Linked DNA regions of Oryzias latipes. The protein of the gene in region 2 purifies or fractionates together with the protein of the main gene of each other region. This does not show direct contact. Links are inferred from orthologs where the notes say so. Each region holds a gene or a part of one and is shown on either strand. Other genes may lie near its edges.

What was found.
Region 1: the proteins of pdgfrb (region 2) and rasa1 purify together in Homo sapiens (co-immunoprecipitation; 5 studies listed by BioGRID and IntAct, with this or other methods). This does not show direct contact. The link is inferred for Oryzias latipes from reciprocal best matches to the Homo sapiens genes PDGFRB and RASA1.

Annotation. Positions count from the first base shown.
Region 1 is NC_019867.2:14,745,415-14,754,623, reverse strand, and holds part of rasa1 (ras GTPase-activating protein 1), read right to left. Parts: intron 9,144-9,209; coding exon 9,091-9,143; intron 9,013-9,090; coding exon 8,862-9,012; intron 8,762-8,861; coding exon 8,683-8,761; intron 8,402-8,682; coding exon 8,278-8,401; intron 7,870-8,277; coding exon 7,713-7,869; intron 7,561-7,712; coding exon 7,473-7,560; intron 6,785-7,472; coding exon 6,704-6,784; intron 6,186-6,703; coding exon 6,028-6,185; intron 5,899-6,027; coding exon 5,822-5,898; intron 5,744-5,821; coding exon 5,571-5,743; intron 5,490-5,570; coding exon 5,330-5,489; intron 4,908-5,329; coding exon 4,765-4,907; intron 4,595-4,764; coding exon 4,479-4,594; intron 4,396-4,478; coding exon 4,312-4,395; intron 3,701-4,311; coding exon 3,633-3,700; intron 3,549-3,632; coding exon 3,460-3,548; intron 3,379-3,459; coding exon 3,301-3,378; intron 675-3,300; coding exon 540-674; intron 446-539; coding exon 366-445; intron 1-365. UniProt on the Homo sapiens protein: Inhibitory regulator of the Ras-cyclic AMP pathway. Stimulates the GTPase of normal but not oncogenic Ras p21; this stimulation may be further increased in the presence of NCK1.
Region 2 is NC_019868.2:16,276,038-16,285,246, forward strand, and holds the end of pdgfrb (platelet-derived growth factor receptor beta), read left to right. Parts: intron 1-981; coding exon 982-1,138; intron 1,139-1,354; coding exon 1,355-1,521; intron 1,522-1,880; coding exon 1,881-1,993; intron 1,994-2,148; coding exon 2,149-2,271; intron 2,272-2,467; coding exon 2,468-2,579; intron 2,580-3,291; coding exon 3,292-3,391; intron 3,392-3,470; coding exon 3,471-3,576; intron 3,577-4,782; coding exon 4,783-5,081; intron 5,082-5,881; coding exon 5,882-6,032; 3' UTR 6,033-7,215; downstream 7,216-9,209. Other genes in the region: macrophage colony-stimulating factor 1 receptor 1, read left to right, coding at 8,021-8,072. UniProt on the Homo sapiens protein: Tyrosine-protein kinase that acts as a cell-surface receptor for homodimeric PDGFB and PDGFD and for heterodimers formed by PDGFA and PDGFB, and plays an essential role in the regulation of embryonic development, cell proliferation, survival, differentiation, chemotaxis and migration.

The DNA.
Region 1 (9,209 bases), on a different chromosome or scaffold from region 2:
GACAGCTGTGCTGACAAAACGCAGAGGAAACGAAGACGCCTTAATAGTTTACCTCTTCATGAAGGGAAGTAAATTGACAAAGTTAGAAGTCCACGCAGGAAAATATCTTGAACATAAAAGTGCTGTCACTGATGGACACTTGTTGTTTATTTGTTTTCGAGTACTGCACTGCTTGTTATCAACTGCTGATGTTGCATAGCTTTTTTGTGTTGAACGAGACATGATGATTGGTGGGGATGGGCGGGTCGGTCATGATGGAGGACTGGTGGATGGGTTGCCATGGTGATGAAGGTTGGGCATGCTAGGTCTCTGGGCTGCACTCCGGGCGACGTGGGTAGATGTTATGAGGAGGAATGCAGTACTACCTGTTACTGTTGGACATGGCATACTGAGCTTGCTTCTGCTGGAGGAGCTCTGTGATGGCCAGCAGCTTTTTCAACACATGCTGAGGAGACGAGATGGGAGTTAAAAAGGTGGGAAAAAGAGAACAAATACCCCCCCCCCAAAAAAAATCAACATTCAGAAGGTTTGACTCTGACCTGCTGGGCTCCCCTCTCATTACTTAGGGTGCGGAGCTCGTCCGAGTGTGCGACACAGACCTCGTGCAGCGCAGCCAGGTCTCGGGGCAGGTCTGTCCTAAAGTGCTCTGTTGTCTCTGGGAGTTCAGGAACGTTCTATAAACAGAAGGGATGTTTGCTGTATTAAATGTTGATCCGGCTAAGGCAGGAGTCTGCAACCAAATATGGCTCTTTTAGCCCTCTGTGGCTTTTAACCCTTGTGCTATCTTAGATGACCCCACCCTTACATTGACGTGTTCTCCCTACCATGACAAAGGTGGATAAAGGTGGAAAGATTTCATGTAATCCATCGACACCAGTGAAGATCACAAATCATTGAAGAAAAAAAAGGTTCAGCGCACTGAAATGCCTAGGATAGCACAAGGGTAAAGAAAAGGCTAATTATTTGAATAAATAATGGGCTTGCAGTTTTAATGCATTTGCTTTTTGTCATTTGTTTAGATTTTTAACATACCAAATAACTGAACAAAATAGTTTTAAGTGCATATTCTTATCTCCTGCTGTACAAAAATGTCTAGTTGCTGTTCAGAGGCAAAGTCCCCATATATATTTAAATGTATAGATTTAAAAAAAAGAGTCTACACCAAAGCTGTCATATTTATATTTGATAGCAAAAGTAGAAAAAGTCTAAATTAATAATAATAACCAAAGTTATAATAATAAAAGACACCAAGATTTTTCTCTCAAGTAAATCTGCTGCAGCAGGATCCTATTTGACACAGAGTGTATTTTATTTTGAAAGGGACTATTCTGTCAAAAATTAGTTAAAATTGTTGTATATAGAAAAACACAACACTGATATAATTCAATTTTAGTAAATCTTTAAAAGCCAAATTTTAAAAATGACACTTAACACTAAGCCAAAGAAAGTGTTTTTTTTTTTAAACGGTTGAATTTTGGCTCTTGTCGTGTTTTGATCAATGAGAAACTGGACCAAATGGCTCTTGTAGCATTAAAGGTAGCTGAGCCCACTCTAAGGTTATCTTTAAACCTGGATTCACTTTTAGTCAGCAACAGATTGAAGCAGGGCTCCAGACTGCGACCAATTGGTCGCATTTTGCGACCAAAAATTGAGAGTGTGCGACTGAATTTTACATCCAGTCGCACATGTGCGACCAGTAAATTTGCCTCCCCCACCCTCCGTATTTTTTATACATTAAACATGGAAGGGGCACGTCAATGATCAATAATCAATGAGACGCGAGCGCACACGCACAAACTCGCACACATACTCATGAGACGCGAGCGCACACACACACTCGCATACATACTCATGAAACGCGAGCACACACTCGCGTGACGCCTGTCTGTCAGGCGGCCACTGCGTGTGAGAAGAACAGGGAAAGCCACTGTAAGTGGCTAAATGCGTGGAGGGGGAGGGGCCTAGAGATAATCGAGCGCGCGTAAACATCTGTGGGAAGGAAACGGAGACAAATATCATCACAACCTGATATGTGCGTCTGAGCTATGAGTAAGCGAACTATTGATTCGTGCTTCCGACCTGCAGCTAGTGTACCAGTGCCAGAGTGTACAGCAGGGGTCTCAAACTCGTGAATTAACCACGGCTGTCATGCACGGCTGTAACGGCATGACACCGCTCCCGCGGGAGATGGTCAGCTGAGGAGAATAAATGTCCCACACGTACATGCGTGACAGCCAACGGGGCTCTAACATTAAACACGTGTGAGCGACAACACGGTTTAGTCTTAGACACATTTAAAACATGTGGGGAAAATGTAACGATAGACGTGTTTAAGATGAACCAGCGCCGTGCCTGTGGCGGGGGGGGGGGGGGGGGTGGGGTTAAGGCGAAGCTGCAGCGAGACTTAAGGAGAACAGGAAGTTGTAGTCCTTAACATTCAATTTAGTTTTAATATGCCTCTTCCCCTGAGTATGATCTGTGATTTGTGATATATATTTTATAATTATTTTAATATTTTGTAATTTATGTAGCCTATTTTCAATCAGTTGGCATATTAAATTATTTTAATTGATCACTGAACTACAAAAACCCATCAGGACACATGTCCCATAATGCATTGTTTTGTAGTCTGTAGGGCAGCTTTCAGTCAGTTCAGTACTAAATTTCCAGCTGTGTTCGTGTAGGTTGGGGCCTTGCTACCACCCCTTTCTGGTGATATTTTTGTTTTGATTGACAGGTGATGTTGGAGCAAAAACAAAAATATACATCTCACACCAGGTGATCTGCGCAGCGTTGCGTCCATCTGGGTGATCTCAAACACGCTTATTGTGCATCTTGGCTGCACTTATTTGGTGTCGCCAACATGAATTTCCATCCTCTAATGTTTACATACATTTAAGTGTTTTTTGTAACTGTGAAATGACCGAAAGGTTACTTTGTTACTAAAAACTTCTGAATGTATGGTATTTTGTTTACTATTTGTACTGTCATGACAGCGATGGTACTGTCAGTTTACCTTCTTGTTGCATCTTCAAAAGTGCAGATTAAAATGTGACACTGAATTTGGAACAGCTAATTGTAATTTATGCATCTATTATTAAAGTATTTATCAGTAATACAGTGGAAATTAGTAGATTTGGTTAGAATGTTGATTTACGGTATGCGCCCCTAAATTTTCTGGTTGTGCCCCTAAAATTTTCAGTTAGGGGCCACAGTGCTCCTAGTGAAAATAGTTAGTCTGGAGCCCTGTGAAGGCTCTAATTATAAAATGAAAAACCAAAATAAAACAATTTGACTTACCCCCAACTCATCCAGAAACATGATCATCCGTTGCTTATTGCATTTGATGAAAGGGTTCACACCCTCCATGTAGGGTTCCTGTAAAAAAAAACAATTAACAGAAAAACAGTTTATTTGACATAATTATGATGCTGAGACCTACAGTTTCTCGGTTTGTACCTTAGCACCAAACTCAACAAGGTTTGCCAGATTCTGGACAGACTTGGCCACCAGTGTGAGTGTCCGGGCTGCTGTTGATGATGGAGGGTCTGCAGACAAGCATCAGAAAGTGAAAACAATGAAACCTGCTTCATGTGGCAGGCAGAACCTTGTGGTTTTATATAGATACCCACCGTCAATGATGTTGAACATCCGGGGGTTGAGGATGGCAGGGCAGATCAGTCTTAGAAAGACAAAACCACTAGAAGAAAAGAAAAAAAAGGCAACATCATGAGGTTAACCGCGGTGCAACAGCAGATTCTAGAGACAAGTGATAGTAAAAAAACAACACCACTAAAGCCTGTATACAGACCGTCAGTGACAACAATTAGAGTGTTGGCATACCTTCCAACAGTCAGCATTCACACAAGTTCATCCCAATGCTGCAAAATGTGAAAGTATAAATGCAATGGCACCCCCACCACCAAAAGGCGAAATTCCTGAATCAGTGAGGCTCAAGAAACACTTGAAGTGTCACAAGTTTATACTATAGTGGGCCCTCAATATTCTGAGGTTCACCTATAGCAGCCTTGCTGTTTCACCTATTTCTTTCAGTGTGTTTGCTCTTTTTTTGGTGGATTTTACCTTTAGTGTTAGTTTGTTTTTAGAGCTTAACCCCCGCAATAAACTATGGGCCGCAGTAATCAATATAGTTGACAAAGAAAGAAAAGGATTCATAGTAGACTTGAGTGTAACTGAAAGATTTAGCATCAGAAGCTAGTACTGCATTAACCTGAATCTATCGGGTTTGGAACCAACTGTTTTCCATTTGACTAAAAATACTACAGGAATAGTGAAAAAGTGTACTTTTACCTCACAACCCTCGTCCTCATGGTGGTGTTCGGCCACTTTCGTTGCACAGATTTCTGCAGGCAGCCGTAGATGAAACGCAAAGTACTGTAGGAGAGAGCAAAAAAAACACCTTTGACCTTAAATGGCCATTACAAGTCCCAAACAAACATGGAATTTCATTGGCTTACGGTGGCAGGATCTCAGCAGCCAGGAAGATCTTTTCTACCAGTTCTGACAGGATGTTGAGGAGATGAGCAAGGTTCAGGTTCACATCATCATTCTTTTCCAGTTTTGAGGGATTCAACTGAAATTGCAGGGACAGAGTAAAACAGACGTGTTAACTATTTTTGGGGCAAATACCTTCTTACTTTTGGGCTAGAGTTTGTAGATTTATGCTTAAGGAAATAATTGAAGTTAATCAGTGGATGCAGTCTATATGTTAGTTGCTTGGGCAGCAGATTGAAAGCCTCACACCTCACAGGACTGTTTACTCTCCATGATCTTGAGGATGGTATCTTTGAGAGCGTGGAGGACAAAGGGCGTGGCCGTAGCCTTCATGTATTGCTCCATCAGCGTGCTGGCCAGTGTTGTTGCTCTGAACAATGTGGTGGCCTCATCTGATGGTGATACACAAGCAGAGCTCGACTCACTCAGAATTAAAAGATACAACTTTTAGAAAGGATGCAGCAGCTATCAAAACAATCTTTTTTTATTAATAGCTAAACTCTGGAGAAAGGCAATAAAGGAACATGTTGGGATAGTATTGTTTGTTTCCAGAAAGCTTTATTGATATCGTTTTCTTAGCAGCAATAGAAAAACACAGGGAAGAGTTCTGAAAATGATGTGTGCTGACAGATACTCAATTTCCTTCCACATAAAAAGAAATACAACAATACCTCAAGGAAGAAAGTGTTGGATTTTTGTTCCACCTTTAACCTCCACCTTGTTTTGTAAACAATGTTCTGTGTCCAACAGAACCCAGATGGAAGCAGTGATGCTAAAATGATCATCCAAAAGAAACCGTCCCTGCATGTCTTACCTTCCATGTTAATCTCTCTGTCATTCAGCGTCCTGAGTAAAGGGGCCTCAGCTTTCTCATGTCTGAAGATCCGCAGGAGGAGGCTTGCCAGTAAGCTGCGGTCCTGACCACACACGTGTGCCAAAGCATAGATGACGTGGAAGTCTTTCTGTAAGATCATCTGCATAAAACCAAACAATACACTGTGAGATCCCTGACGGTAGAGGCAGAAATCTCAGAACAGGTCTTGATTTGAACGGGCCTCCTTGAGGTCGCTGTACTCCTCTTCCGGCATGATTTTCTCCACAGAGTAGCGGGCGCGTACACGCAGGGAGCCCGGCTCGATGCCTTTTAGGGGAATGTGGGAGCTGAGGGGGAACCATTCGTCAATCATCTGGCCCTTCTGCAGACGGTTTAGCTGGCAGCGCATAAATACTGCAGGACAGACAAAAAAACTGAATTATTGAGGGGGAACAAAGAACGGTGTGAAAACTCGATTTGAAATGTACTCACAGATGTCTATTTCTTTGCTCTTCTTTGTTTTGTTGCTCAGGCTAATTTCAAATCTATTGATTTCACCAGACAAATCACTGGAACAACAGAAACACATTTCATTAGATTTGTGCTCAAACAGATAATGTCAGTTCAAGACATGACAGGTTTCAGAGAATTCAAAGTACCTCACTTCGCTGGGAAACAAAGACAAGAACAACACCTACTCAAAAATGAATTCCTCAGTGAAGACGGGATTCTGGCCCTCCCTCGGGTGCGTCTTAGCAACCTGGACGTTGTTCAAGTAGATGTTACAGTAGGGGTTGGTGAAATGCTTCACTGGTAGCTTGTGGGCCTCCTCCACATACAACACCAGGCTGCTCACCTACAAATAAGACAGCATTGAAATAGACAAAACATATTTTAAAAAAGGATGATGAAGTGTCAATCCACATCCTTAAACATTAAATTAAACATTTTGATTTCAAACATTTCATTACAATCATGACATTGATATGCTTAGCTATAATTGTTCTATAGTTCAGTCCATGAATTGGGTTGTCAATTAGTGATTTTCCTTGTAAGTACAATTCTCGTGCATGCAAACAGGAATGTAGATAGCTGGTAGCTCGACATTCATTCATTACCGTAGTTAAAATCTAACCAATGAGAATGCAGTGTATGGCATTTGGTTTATTTTGAGCTTTATTAAACTGTTGTGAGCATCCAGAGACAGGAATTTCCAAACAGATTTTTTTAGCTACGTGGAGTTGGGAAAAAAGGCAGGTTTGGCAGCAGCATGCTGCTCAGTCAGAGCCAACCCCCCCCTGGACCAGAACCATTTTAAAGTTTTGCATTTAACCAGGTCACAGGGAACACCAAGCAGACTCTTGACATACGTACCTGTCTGAGCCTTTTATTGGAGGTGTTTACAGTGGTTTTTCTTAAGTTGGTACAGAAAGTCTGAAGGCACTTCATCCAATCCTGCAAAGACACACGTATTTAAAGTTCTTCAAAAGACCCCCAAAAGATTCGGGTTTCTGCCACATTTCTAACGGAGCCTAAGAATAACAAGAAAAGGTCCAACAGAAAAAAAAGAGGCGACAGAACTCTGAATGAACATGTGATCCAGGAAACAAAGGTTTGATTCCTGTACAGTGCCACTCATTGAAATTAAAATATCCCCTGAATAAATACATCTTAAAAAACAGGTTTAATTGAAGCCCACATTGACGCCACAAGGGCAGTTCTATTCCCCACCAAGCATGTTTAGGCTTGTTATAAGGAAGACAGAGGGGGATATTGGGTAATTCATCAGAATTAGATTGCCTTTAACCTTTTCAGACTCTTTGAGGTCACATAGCAAATATGCAAACAATGTATTGCCATTCTGAAATATATTACAACTATATTTTAATGTCAGAATAATAAATGTAGTTTAAAAATGCCTTTTTTAGAATTGAAATTGAAATGTTTTTAAGTATACAGCTTACAGCAAACTGTAAATGAAGATTAATTGAACAAAGGCTGACAGTTTTTTTTTTTGTTTTGTTTTTTTTTAATCAGCAAGTCAACAAATGAGTGAAAGAAAACTGCAGTCAGGTAAAAATAACCACTGCAGTGGTAACATTCTAAAAGCTGATGCACAAAAAAGAGAAATCAGTCTCATTACCTGTGCCTGTTCTGGAGTTTCTCCTGCAAAGTAAAATATGTACTGCTCCTCACTAAAATGCTGGACAACAATCTGGAAACAGTTTGGCCTGAAAAGTTCAAACAAAACAAAAGAATAAAGGGTATTAGGTTCATATGTGTCAAATGCTAAAAGAATTTTCTTCAGTGTGGTGTCCATGAAGCTGCTGTCACTCAAAATGCAAAGATGAGTGGACTTTACAGCCAATGTTTGATGTCCCACCTGCCAAACAGACTGTCATGCACACAATACACGGAGCACACACTTAGGTCAATCAGCCCTTTGGGTTTGGTGGCTCTCTTCTCACTTTCGAAATAGATGAGCTGTGCATCGTTACCTTCCAGGATGAAGTAAAGGTTCTTCCACCTTTTGCCTTTGCCTGAAGATGAAGGGGGGAATTTAGGGTTCTGACTGACGTGAACAAAATGAGAAAATTCTGATAAACACTGTCTGGCTAAATAAATAAATGAAGAAAAATCTCCACAGAGATTGTATTAAGCAGAAAGGCAGAAGCCCCCCATTGAAAAAGTTTTATAGTGATTAATATGTCTGCTAAACATTAGGTCAACTGACAACATCAATTAAATAAATGCCAAGGTCTTTCCATTAACGGAGTTTTTTTTTTCCTGATGGCTTATTCCAAGATGAGATTGCTAGGATTCAATAATAGCTACGGGATGTCCAACAAAATTAATGATTTATGTTGGCCAGGCAGTGTAAATCATCAAAGCCCAGAGGCTACAAAAGCTTTATTGTAAGTGCTGGAGCAGACAGAGGTCATAGATACCTTTGTTGAACAGGAGGTAGCCTTTCTTGACAATGTTTTTGTAAAAAGCGTCTTTTGTTTTCCGTCTTATAGTGTTATAAATTTCTCTGCCATCCACTGTGTCAGTAAGCACTTGTTCCTGGTGCTACAGTAGAAGCAGATCAAAGGCCATTAGAGAAGCACCAATGCGTAACTCGTTCAATGCGTAGCTAACATTGCCTAAAGCGAGACATTGAAGAAACAAAACAAAAAAATGTACTACTTTCTTCAAAATAAATACAAATGGTAAAAGCCAAATATTAATCTGCTTTTTAGCACATTTAAAAATGTATTCATGTCTTGAAAAGAGCTGCACTAACTAAACTTTCATCTTAATAACTTAAAAAGGTTATGTAATGATGAATAACTGTGTGGAACCATGTATACCTGCACTGAAACGGGCTCTTTCAGGTTGTAGCCCTCAACAATTTGTTCTTTTTTGTAATGGTCGATGATGTCATCAACACTAAAAACAAGAAAACAAAACAGTTGAAGCTAATGTGTGATCCACATGTTTCAAATGGTACGAAACATTGACATATACATTGGTGCTCATCGCCACACACCTGTTGTAGTATCTCCCACCCATCATGTACTGATTGGTGGGTGTGGGGGAGATTTTAAACCTTTGGATGTTTTCATTGGTGCGAAAAAAGAGGGAGTAGTCTCCGGGAGTGTTGTCAGATGGCCGGACGAGAAAACTGGACACCTGACCAACTACAGGAAAGGAAAAGGTAGGTGGGTTTTGTGAATAACCCGATTATTTCTACTCCATAGAAATGGAGACAACAGTACCTGTCATCAGAAGGTTGTAAGCCTCTTGTTTTGTGATCTTTCCATGATACCAGCTGGAGATGCAGAAGAAAGATCAATAAGGATGAAATTAAGATAAATTAGAACACCTACCACAATTA
Region 2 (9,209 bases):
TCATTTGATCTGTACAGAGGCTACACTGGGGAGGATTATATTCATGATAAGGAGCTTGAATCTTGTTTGCTAGAGCTGGATAATATCATAACCAACAGTTATGGGTTCTTGTGGAAGATAAAATTAATAATGTTTTAGTAACTAAAAACTGTCATGCTGAGGTTGTACACGCTGTGCTTTTCGCATTTATCAGCCGCATTACTTTCCTCGGGCTCCATTTTATTTTTAAGTAAATAGACACCCCTTCCCATTTTTTCTGTTCATGTTTAAGTTTGGGTTCCTCATTCTTTGAGAGGTTTGGACAGCCTCTCCTTTGTCCAAATACTTTAATATAGTATTGCCTCAATCTTTTACTGTTGAATTTTTAAGTTTTAAAACTTTTGGCGGCAGAAAATAATTCGAAAAACCCGTCAATAATAAATTGTAATTCAATAAGAGCTCTTGTATCTCATAAAATGGTGGAAATTTTGTTTTTGTTTAGAACAAATGTTTATTTTGTAACATATAGTATAACTGCTTTCTAATAGGGATTCCACAAACATACTATTTGATCATAACAAATGTATTTGATAAGCTACAAAATATTCACCAAAATAAAAGTCTAATTTGACCTCCGTTCTGTTTGCTGTTTGCTCCAAGTGCTACATGGTCCATCAACAGGCTGAAGATTTGTGGGTAAAATAAAAGCTAATCAATAAATAAAAATATTTATACTTCTGGCAAAAGATTATTTATTTTTACCGTTAATTAACAGTTAATGGTTGCTGTTAATTTACCCATTTTAATTGGAAATGACAAAAAGTTATAATACAATTAACTGCAGAGAAGAATCTCAGCTTTATTTTTATTTGAACAAAAAGTGACATGCCCAGAATTTTCCATGCAGTTTCATATTATGTCCTCATTATAAATAGCATTGCTAATAGGCAATTTTCTGCTCTTTTTCATAAATCTGTGTATGTTCTTTGTCACCACATGCAGGCCCTCTCTATCTGGTGACCGAGTACTGTCGCTATGGTGATTTGGTGGATTACCTGCACAGGAACAAACACACCTTCCTGCAGTACTACGCCGAGAAGAACCAGTACGACGACTGCCTCATTTCTAGAGGAAGCACCCCTCTCAGTCAGAGAAAAGGGTAAGGGGGGCAGAAAAACATATGAGATGTTTTATAAAACAGACTTTTTCCTTGGAATCCTGTCTCATTCCAAGAAACTGCTGCAGATGGATTTATGAAGTAGACAAATGGAGCCTGTTACAGATGTACAGATGTTTCACATGAGGAGGCACTACAATGCATATTTAGATATAGGTCAGTTAAGACTTTTTTTCCTTGCTTTTCTCTCGTCTTCAGCTATGTGTCCTTCGGCAGTGAGAGCGATGGAGGCTACATGGACATGAGCAAAGATGAGCCGTCAATCTACGTGCCCATGCAGGAGCAGATAGACACCATCAAATATGCTGACATCCAGCCTTCTCCATACGAGTCCCCCTACCAGCAGGACCTCTACCAAGATCAAGGTTTGCCCCGGCTGCTGTTAGATTTATGTCTGCTAAGTTAAGACAACTGTTGAATGTTGGTAAGAATCAATTTTCCATTTATGTAGGAGTGAATGAGGATGACAAACAAAGCATGACAAACACAGGAAACAAAGAAAATCAGAGAGATATGTGTGAAAAATAGGATGTGAGGCCACGTACTGCTGCTTTCAGAACTAGAAGTTCTAAACTCAGCTGTTTTTATGGATTAAACACGGATATGTGTGTTTTATTATGCTTTAGCAGAAAAATACAGAATTTTTCCTAGAATGTTGCAAGTTTTTTGGATGAAAAACGTATTCCTTCCTCACCTGTGTGTCTTTTCACCTCATTTTCTCCAGGAAGCACCAGCCTGGACTTAGTGATCAGTGATTGTGCCAGCCTCACCTATGAAGACCTTCTAGGTTTCAGCTATCAGGTGGCAAAGGGGATGGAGTTTCTCGCCTCCAAAAATGTAAGCTATCAAACAATCATCTTTCCGCTTCCGCCACCAACGTATCCCTTTATTTTGTTTTAAACCATTATTTTGAAAAAGTTAGTTTCAAACATGACTTGTATTTATTCGAGGAAAGAGGAAGAATAACTCAATTTACTTTTTTTCCAATGCAGTGCGTCCATCGTGACCTGGCTGCCAGGAACGTGTTGATCTGTGAAGGCAAGCTGGTGAAGATTTGCGACTTTGGCCTGGCCAGAGACATAATGCATGATTCCAATTACATCTCCAAAGGAAGCGTAAGTCGTAATGTAATGTGTGCTACTCTGCCAAAATGAAATGGTTCTCCAGCAAAACAGCATTTTAACAAATAAGATATAAATGGTTATTACACAACAGTCAGAAAGAAGCAAAGTGGAATCTTTTAACCCTCCTGACTGTGAAAAAATGAGGTTCTTTATCATCTAAGCTGCAGTGTATTTCTCTTTCTTTTAGACCTTCCTGCCCCTGAAGTGGATGGCACCAGAAAGCATTTTTCATAATTTGTACACCACCCTGAGTGATGTGTGGTCATACGGCATACTCCTTTGGGAAATTTTCACTCTGGGTGAGTCCGACCACACGTTCATAAAGCGCACACTATTTGTACCCTCAAACAAAGTTTTCATGCATGCAGGGGATTTACACATAGCTTTTAAATAAACTTCCCATTTGATCAATTTTTAAGTGTTGAACTCAAATAATAACAAAAAACAGTGCTCCAAATGTTCCAAGTCCATGTCTGACCAAGAACATACCAGTTAGTTTAAAGACCCAAAATCCTGTTAGCTACAGTCAAGCTTTTACATTTCTCTTGCTCTAGGAAATGTATTTTTTTTCTTTTAATCCACAATAGATCTAAGGAAGCTACCATGAAACAAAGGAGACAGTTTAGTGCATTTCAACCATTAACTCCAGTCATAAAAAAACAAACTTACAATCCAGCCTCTGTAAGTGACAAAGAGTCTCTGTTTGCTTGTTGGAAGTCAGCTTTCATTTGGACTTTTATCATATTTTTCCTATAGATTTACATGTGTATAAAATGTCTTGTTGCATGTGTCCAAATGTTCACCTTTAATAACTAATTATTTTAAATTTTGAATACATTTTTTTTTATATAATGAAAATCCAAGTACTTTTAAAACATACTGGGAAAAGTGGTCATTTCTTTAAACTACACATTTGGGATTGATTATATTTGACAGAAGTCAGACTTTGTAGTTTCAAAAAAGGGTTCCTAAGTTCTGGCATAGCTTAAAACCATTCTTGTTCTTCCTTAGGAGGAACCCCCTACCCAGATTTGCCCATGAACGAACTGTTCTACAACGCACTGAAAAGAGGATACCGCATGGCCAAACCTCCCCATGCTTCAGATGAAGTGTGAGTTTTTGTCAGTTGTTAAACGTAGAACTTTTTATGCCTACAAATTATACCAAAAAAAATTACGTTTGTGACGCAGGTATGAAATCATGAAGAAGTGCTGGGATGAAAAGTTTGAGAAGAGGCCTGAGTTCTCCTTGTTGGTTCACAACGTGGGAAACATGCTGACAGACAGCTATAAGAAGGTATTGAATCCATGCTAATCCACTTAACATCAGTTATTGCTCTAATATTCACTTCTGAATCTCTAACTCTGTTGCTTTACTTTGCTTCTCGTTAAAATGCTTTAAACATAAAAAAGTGCTCAGTTAAAGACCCACTTGTGGCATTTTTCTGATAATGGATTACATGCTGTATATAAAGTAAATTAAGCTTAAAATTGCATTTCTGAGTATTTATGTATTCCACTTGTTGTGAATCAGTGTGTTGTGAATTAAAAGCAGACGCAAAATGCCACTGAAAAAGCTTGTAAGAGGGGCACACAAATAACTTTGGCAAGACTTAAGCTCCCTGCTCTGCTCCTTTCTGATGCATCCAGTCGTAGACAACTAGATCCATGTACATGTTTGTTTTCAGCTGGAATATGGCTTAAATGTACAGCGACTTAACTCTGATTTTGCTCGCCATTTTTTTCCCCGCTGGTAATGTTAGATTGGGGTTGTGAGGGGCTGTTAGCTAGCAGGAGAGAGTATAAAAAGATAGATGATGGGTAGAAGGTAGGCCTTATCCATGCCAAAATTTAGAACCTTTTTTTAAAGCAGTGAGGAGAAAACTGCTTTTGTCAGTTTGAGTGCTTTTTTTGTAACAGTCTGGAGAGTTCCTGATGTACCTGGAGATGTTATAGAAATACAACAAATAAAGTTTTTGTGTCAGTGCACATCTGCTGCAAATGCCTTCCAGAGCTGATATCCCCAAAATGAATGCTGCATTTGAGGTTCTTAATTACTGTTGCGACCCATTTGGCAAAGCTGGAACGAAGACATTTGAGGAGCTGCTTTTATGAGATCAGTGCCTAAAGCTCCTTCCATGTTCACCGCTTTCATCAGGCTGATGGAAACTTAACATGATGCTGTCATTTTAAAATCTCCGCATCTTCATCCTATCAGATCTAAAAATATACAGAATTGTTCTTGTTTTGACCCAATTATATACTTTTTTTAGAATTTAATAATCCACTTCTGCAATCCAATTCTGGGACAGCCTCTTGTTTGTTGGTCCACTCATTTATTTAAAATACAATATCCAAACTATAAGTAGACTATTACTTAACTACTATTAGTTAAGTAATTACTAGTAGTAAACTGCTATAAGTAAAAATAGAGTAAACTTTAGAAGGACTCAGCAGCTTTTGCCACATTATTCTGCTTAGCAAGCATTTCTTCCAAAAACAGAGATACAGCCAAGTGAACGAGAACTTCCTGAAGAGTGACCACCCGGCAGTGGCCCGCACCAAACCCCGCCGGACCTCGCCCTTTCCCGTCGCTGACCCCACATTTGGCTCCCTGTCTCCTGTTGCCTTCTCCTCCTCTCCCGGTCCCACAGCCAACAACCAGAGCCAGAGGCCTGGAGAGCGCAGGCACGAAGCAGACGGGCAGGAAGTCGTAACTTCATATAATGAGTACATCATTCCCATCCCGGACCCCAAACCAGAGGAAGCTTTCGGCAGCATGCCGTCAGAAAGCCCTGAAAGGTACCGGACCGCTGCAAACACTCTGCAGATGTGTGTCAAAAACATGGGGCTGCAGGGGCGATGAAAATGTGTTTGCTTTTGTCTGCCACACACCCACTCATCCAGATGTTGAACTGACACAGTAGTTTATTATAAAAGCTTCATAGAGATGTATTTTTATAACTTAAATAAACACAGGACCAGGCAGGGACTTAAATCTACAAAAACTGCTTTTTTTTAAACACAGTAGACCAAACTTCATTTTTGTGTTTGTTTTGTTCACTAAGCCTTTCTAACCCCAAACCTTGCTTCCTTGTTTGAGGTCGGGTGGGATTTGAAGCCAAAACTCATGTTTTGAGCTCAATTGGTTCGTTTTCTGATGAATGGCCACTGTGACGCCTCAGAACTGCACTTTAGTAAATCACTACAATAAGACCTCCCACATTGATCATAATAATTCTAAATTTGCATCAACAATTTTACACAAAAGTCATTGAGAAAACATGTTTATGTAACAAAATGTTCTTTGAAAATGGTTTAAGTTAAAAGAAGAGCTAAAATAAATTATTTGGATACTGACAAAGAGGACAGCCATGTCCAAGAGCCGGAATCTTAATAATTAGTTTACTTGTGACAAGATTGTTTGCAACAGTGCTGGTCAGCTGATCTGATTGCTTTCAGATGTTAAGTAAGGCCTGCTCTGCCTGCTAAGAAAAGACAGTTTTTATGTTGGTAAATAGAAAAAAAAGAAAAGGCATCAAAGCAATGTTGCAGTAAATCTATGTGCTTCATCACATCCTAATCTGTCTTTTTGCCGTCAGCTCTCTGGCTGCAGAGGAAGAGGAGACTGACTCCATGTCGCAGGACACAGCTGAGACTCTTCCAGAGGATGAGCGCCTGGAGGACACCAGCGAAAGGGATGCTTTGCTGGGCTCCTCGGCGACCCCCGAGGTAGAAGACAGCTTCCTGTAGCCGTGCGTTCAAACCCAGAGACAACACAGCGCCTTTATTTTTCCCTTTTTCTTCACGGGAGGAAAAAAAACCTCAAATGTAGCAGAACTGAGAGGAAGAAGGAAATGTCTGTAGATCTGTGTAGCACTAAAAGAGGCATCTCTTCAAGTTAGGTACAGTTACTTAGTACGGTGGCACCTTGCTGACAGCTCAATACTGAATAAACATGGCACTCTCACCTACCTATAATGTTAGCCTAAACAGAATAGAGATTTTTCAGTGTACATTTAATTTTAAACCTTTGCCACATTATTAAAAAAAAGCCTATTCTTTTTATATTTTAAGATGAAATTTAGCTTCCAAATGATGCAAATAACTTTTTAGGTGAGCAATTATTTTATTTTGTATTTTTTTAACAGGAACAGAACAAAACATTCAAAACACTTTTTTTTCTAAATTTAATTACCACAGATTGCATTTTTAAATCATTGTTTAGGGTCAGTTTTTGGGTTTTCTCTCCTGGGTACTATCAGCAAATTTACTCTCTGTGTCGAATGTTTGTAAAATATCATGCATAGGACTTGAAGTACAGATTTATTTCCCTGTGCACTGTTTTAAAGTGAGATGTACTTTTTATGTAGCTCCACAAACTACAGTGTTTCCATATGTGAACTTTGTATAGCATCTTGCAATGGGGTTGTCTTTTGTGTAGAAATAATTCCTAGTTGTGTGCCAGTTGCACTTTATATAGAAAAAAAAAATGGACACACGGTATGTTAAAGAAATATAAGTTCCACTCTGAAATATAGAGCCACTACAGCATGACTGTGACTGTTACCATGTCCAGGATATCCTTTGTGAGAAAAGGTGACTCTCAATCAATGCAGCATATCACTGCCTTAGCACAAGATGGCACACAAGAGTGCCTTTGTATTGACTTTTGACTTGCAGCTACACAAAGTATGAAGGGCTACCAGACAGCTGTGCACATGTTATGCTCGTAGTCGTCCTTTGCCTTGGGTAACATACACATTAGTGCTTTCATCACCTGAAACTACACCTTTTCATTTCTGCTGAACCTTCAAAATTCACCGCACGATGTCATCGTCACAAGCTACGGTACCAAAGCTCTTTTTAACGTTTACAAATGTATTTTTGTATTTGTCGTTTTATAAATGTGTCAATAAATGCGTACTATCAACAATTCCTTGTGGAAAATTGAATTCTTCATGACTCCTAAATTAACTTTTTCTGCAGCAACACCATGTCTCCCGGCTCTAAAAACTCATGAAGCTAAATATTTCTTAATGATATTCACTCTCTAACACAGTTAAGGTCTTGTCCACAAATTCTGTCTGAATCCAATTAGAATCTTTTTTTTAAAGTTTGGTTATGCAGTGTACAAGGATCTGTTTGTCTTCATTTATTTTGAACATGTTAAAATATAGGACAAAAACTCCTTACACTTAATAAATACTGACATAAAAATTCATTTTAAAGTATCTGGTTTTTAAGAACTCCCAACAACTCTCAACAACCTGCTTACAGTCAGACTGTTCTCACCTTGTCCTGGCAGCCATGTCACTATGCAAAATTGACACTAGTTTATTTATTTGCTGAGCGTGATTTGCTAGCCCCGCCTCCCCATTACACAGAGCCCCCTCCTTCCTCCTCTCTCCACCACTTGCTCTATGATGTTTGCAGTGTGACTTCTGCATTCAGGAGACTGAAAACAAGCAGGAGGAAGAATAGGAACAGAGACGTGGAAGAAGGCCTCCGCTCTGGATGCTGGGAGCTTTCAAACTGCATCTCGCTGTCAAGCTATAAGCATCTGTTGGTGAGAATAGTTCAACTGATTTCGTTTTTATTGTGCCAAATGAGAACTTGGTGTTTTCTGTGAGAAAACATGACAATGCTGGTCTAAATGGTAAAAAAAAAAAAAAAGGAATCAGACAGAAAAGTTTCAGCCCTGTTTGACTTTGGATCTGCAGAACTGAAGCTGATCCAGGATGCGGCCCTACCTCACGCTGTTGTTGTTGATGGTGGTGCCTGCTACTTCAGGTAAGCAAGATTTCCCCTGCTTTTCTTCCATCCTTTCTTTTTTGGGCGCAATTCTTCTAAATCCAATTGTGCTTCCACAGTCTCAAATCAGTGAATGAGAACTTACCAGAATGACAAAATCAGTACGACTAGCAGGACTAAAAACAAACCTGTAAACCTTGGATTCTATTGTTGTTGTGGATGATTTCCTTCACACCACACCAAACCAATTAGTTATGTAACACTCCACTGATGTTTTAATTGCGACTTCTTGAGTGGCTCACTTTACAGCCGTGACAAACACCTCCAATAACTAACATCGTCATGACTTGCTTGGAGGGTCCTTCCTGAGATGTGTTTTTTCTTTTTCCTGTCTAATTTCATCAATTATGAACTGTCTGCTGATCAGCAAACATACTGGTTTATCTTATTTCCATTAGAGCATGTAAAATCTGGTGCTGATGTTCGAAATAGAGTGAAAACCCTTTTGCAGCCCATGGGATGAGTTTCACCTTAAAAAATAACTTCAAAATAGGACAAAAAAAAGCCAGTGTCATCCTAAACAAAATACATAGATGGAAACCACAAACATACCTATATGGTATTTTGCAAAAATCCAGCCATATATATATATAGTGGTTTCCATCATAGCATAGCATTATAACTTGTGCAAGATCTTTTGCTTTTGTTAATTTGCAGAAAAAATAAAGAAACAAAGAATTGGAAGTTTTGAAAAAATAGTATGAGTTATTATGAGGTTGAATAAGTTAAAAGCTCAAACACCACATTGCTGATTAGCACAAAATGTTGTTTAATTCCCAGTTTCACTGAGGTGTATTGCGGTGAGGAGAAAAACATGCTGAATGTGGAATCTCAGTTCTGCTTCAAACACAGTCCAAAAGGCCTTCATGGAAAGTTTTTGAACTTCTGCTGCAAAGTTTTTATGGAAAGTTTGATTTGTGCATGTTAACGAAGCAAAGTCCCTTTACTATCAGTACAACTAAAAGGCTAATGCACACTCTTAGTGTACAGCACTCTTGATTAATCATTTTAAAGCCAAAAAGAACAGTACTGTTTTCTTTTTTAGCAGAAAACCTTGAATTTCCTGAGGGACTTCCTCCTTTTCAACAATGCCTTCCTAGAAAATGTATACTATCT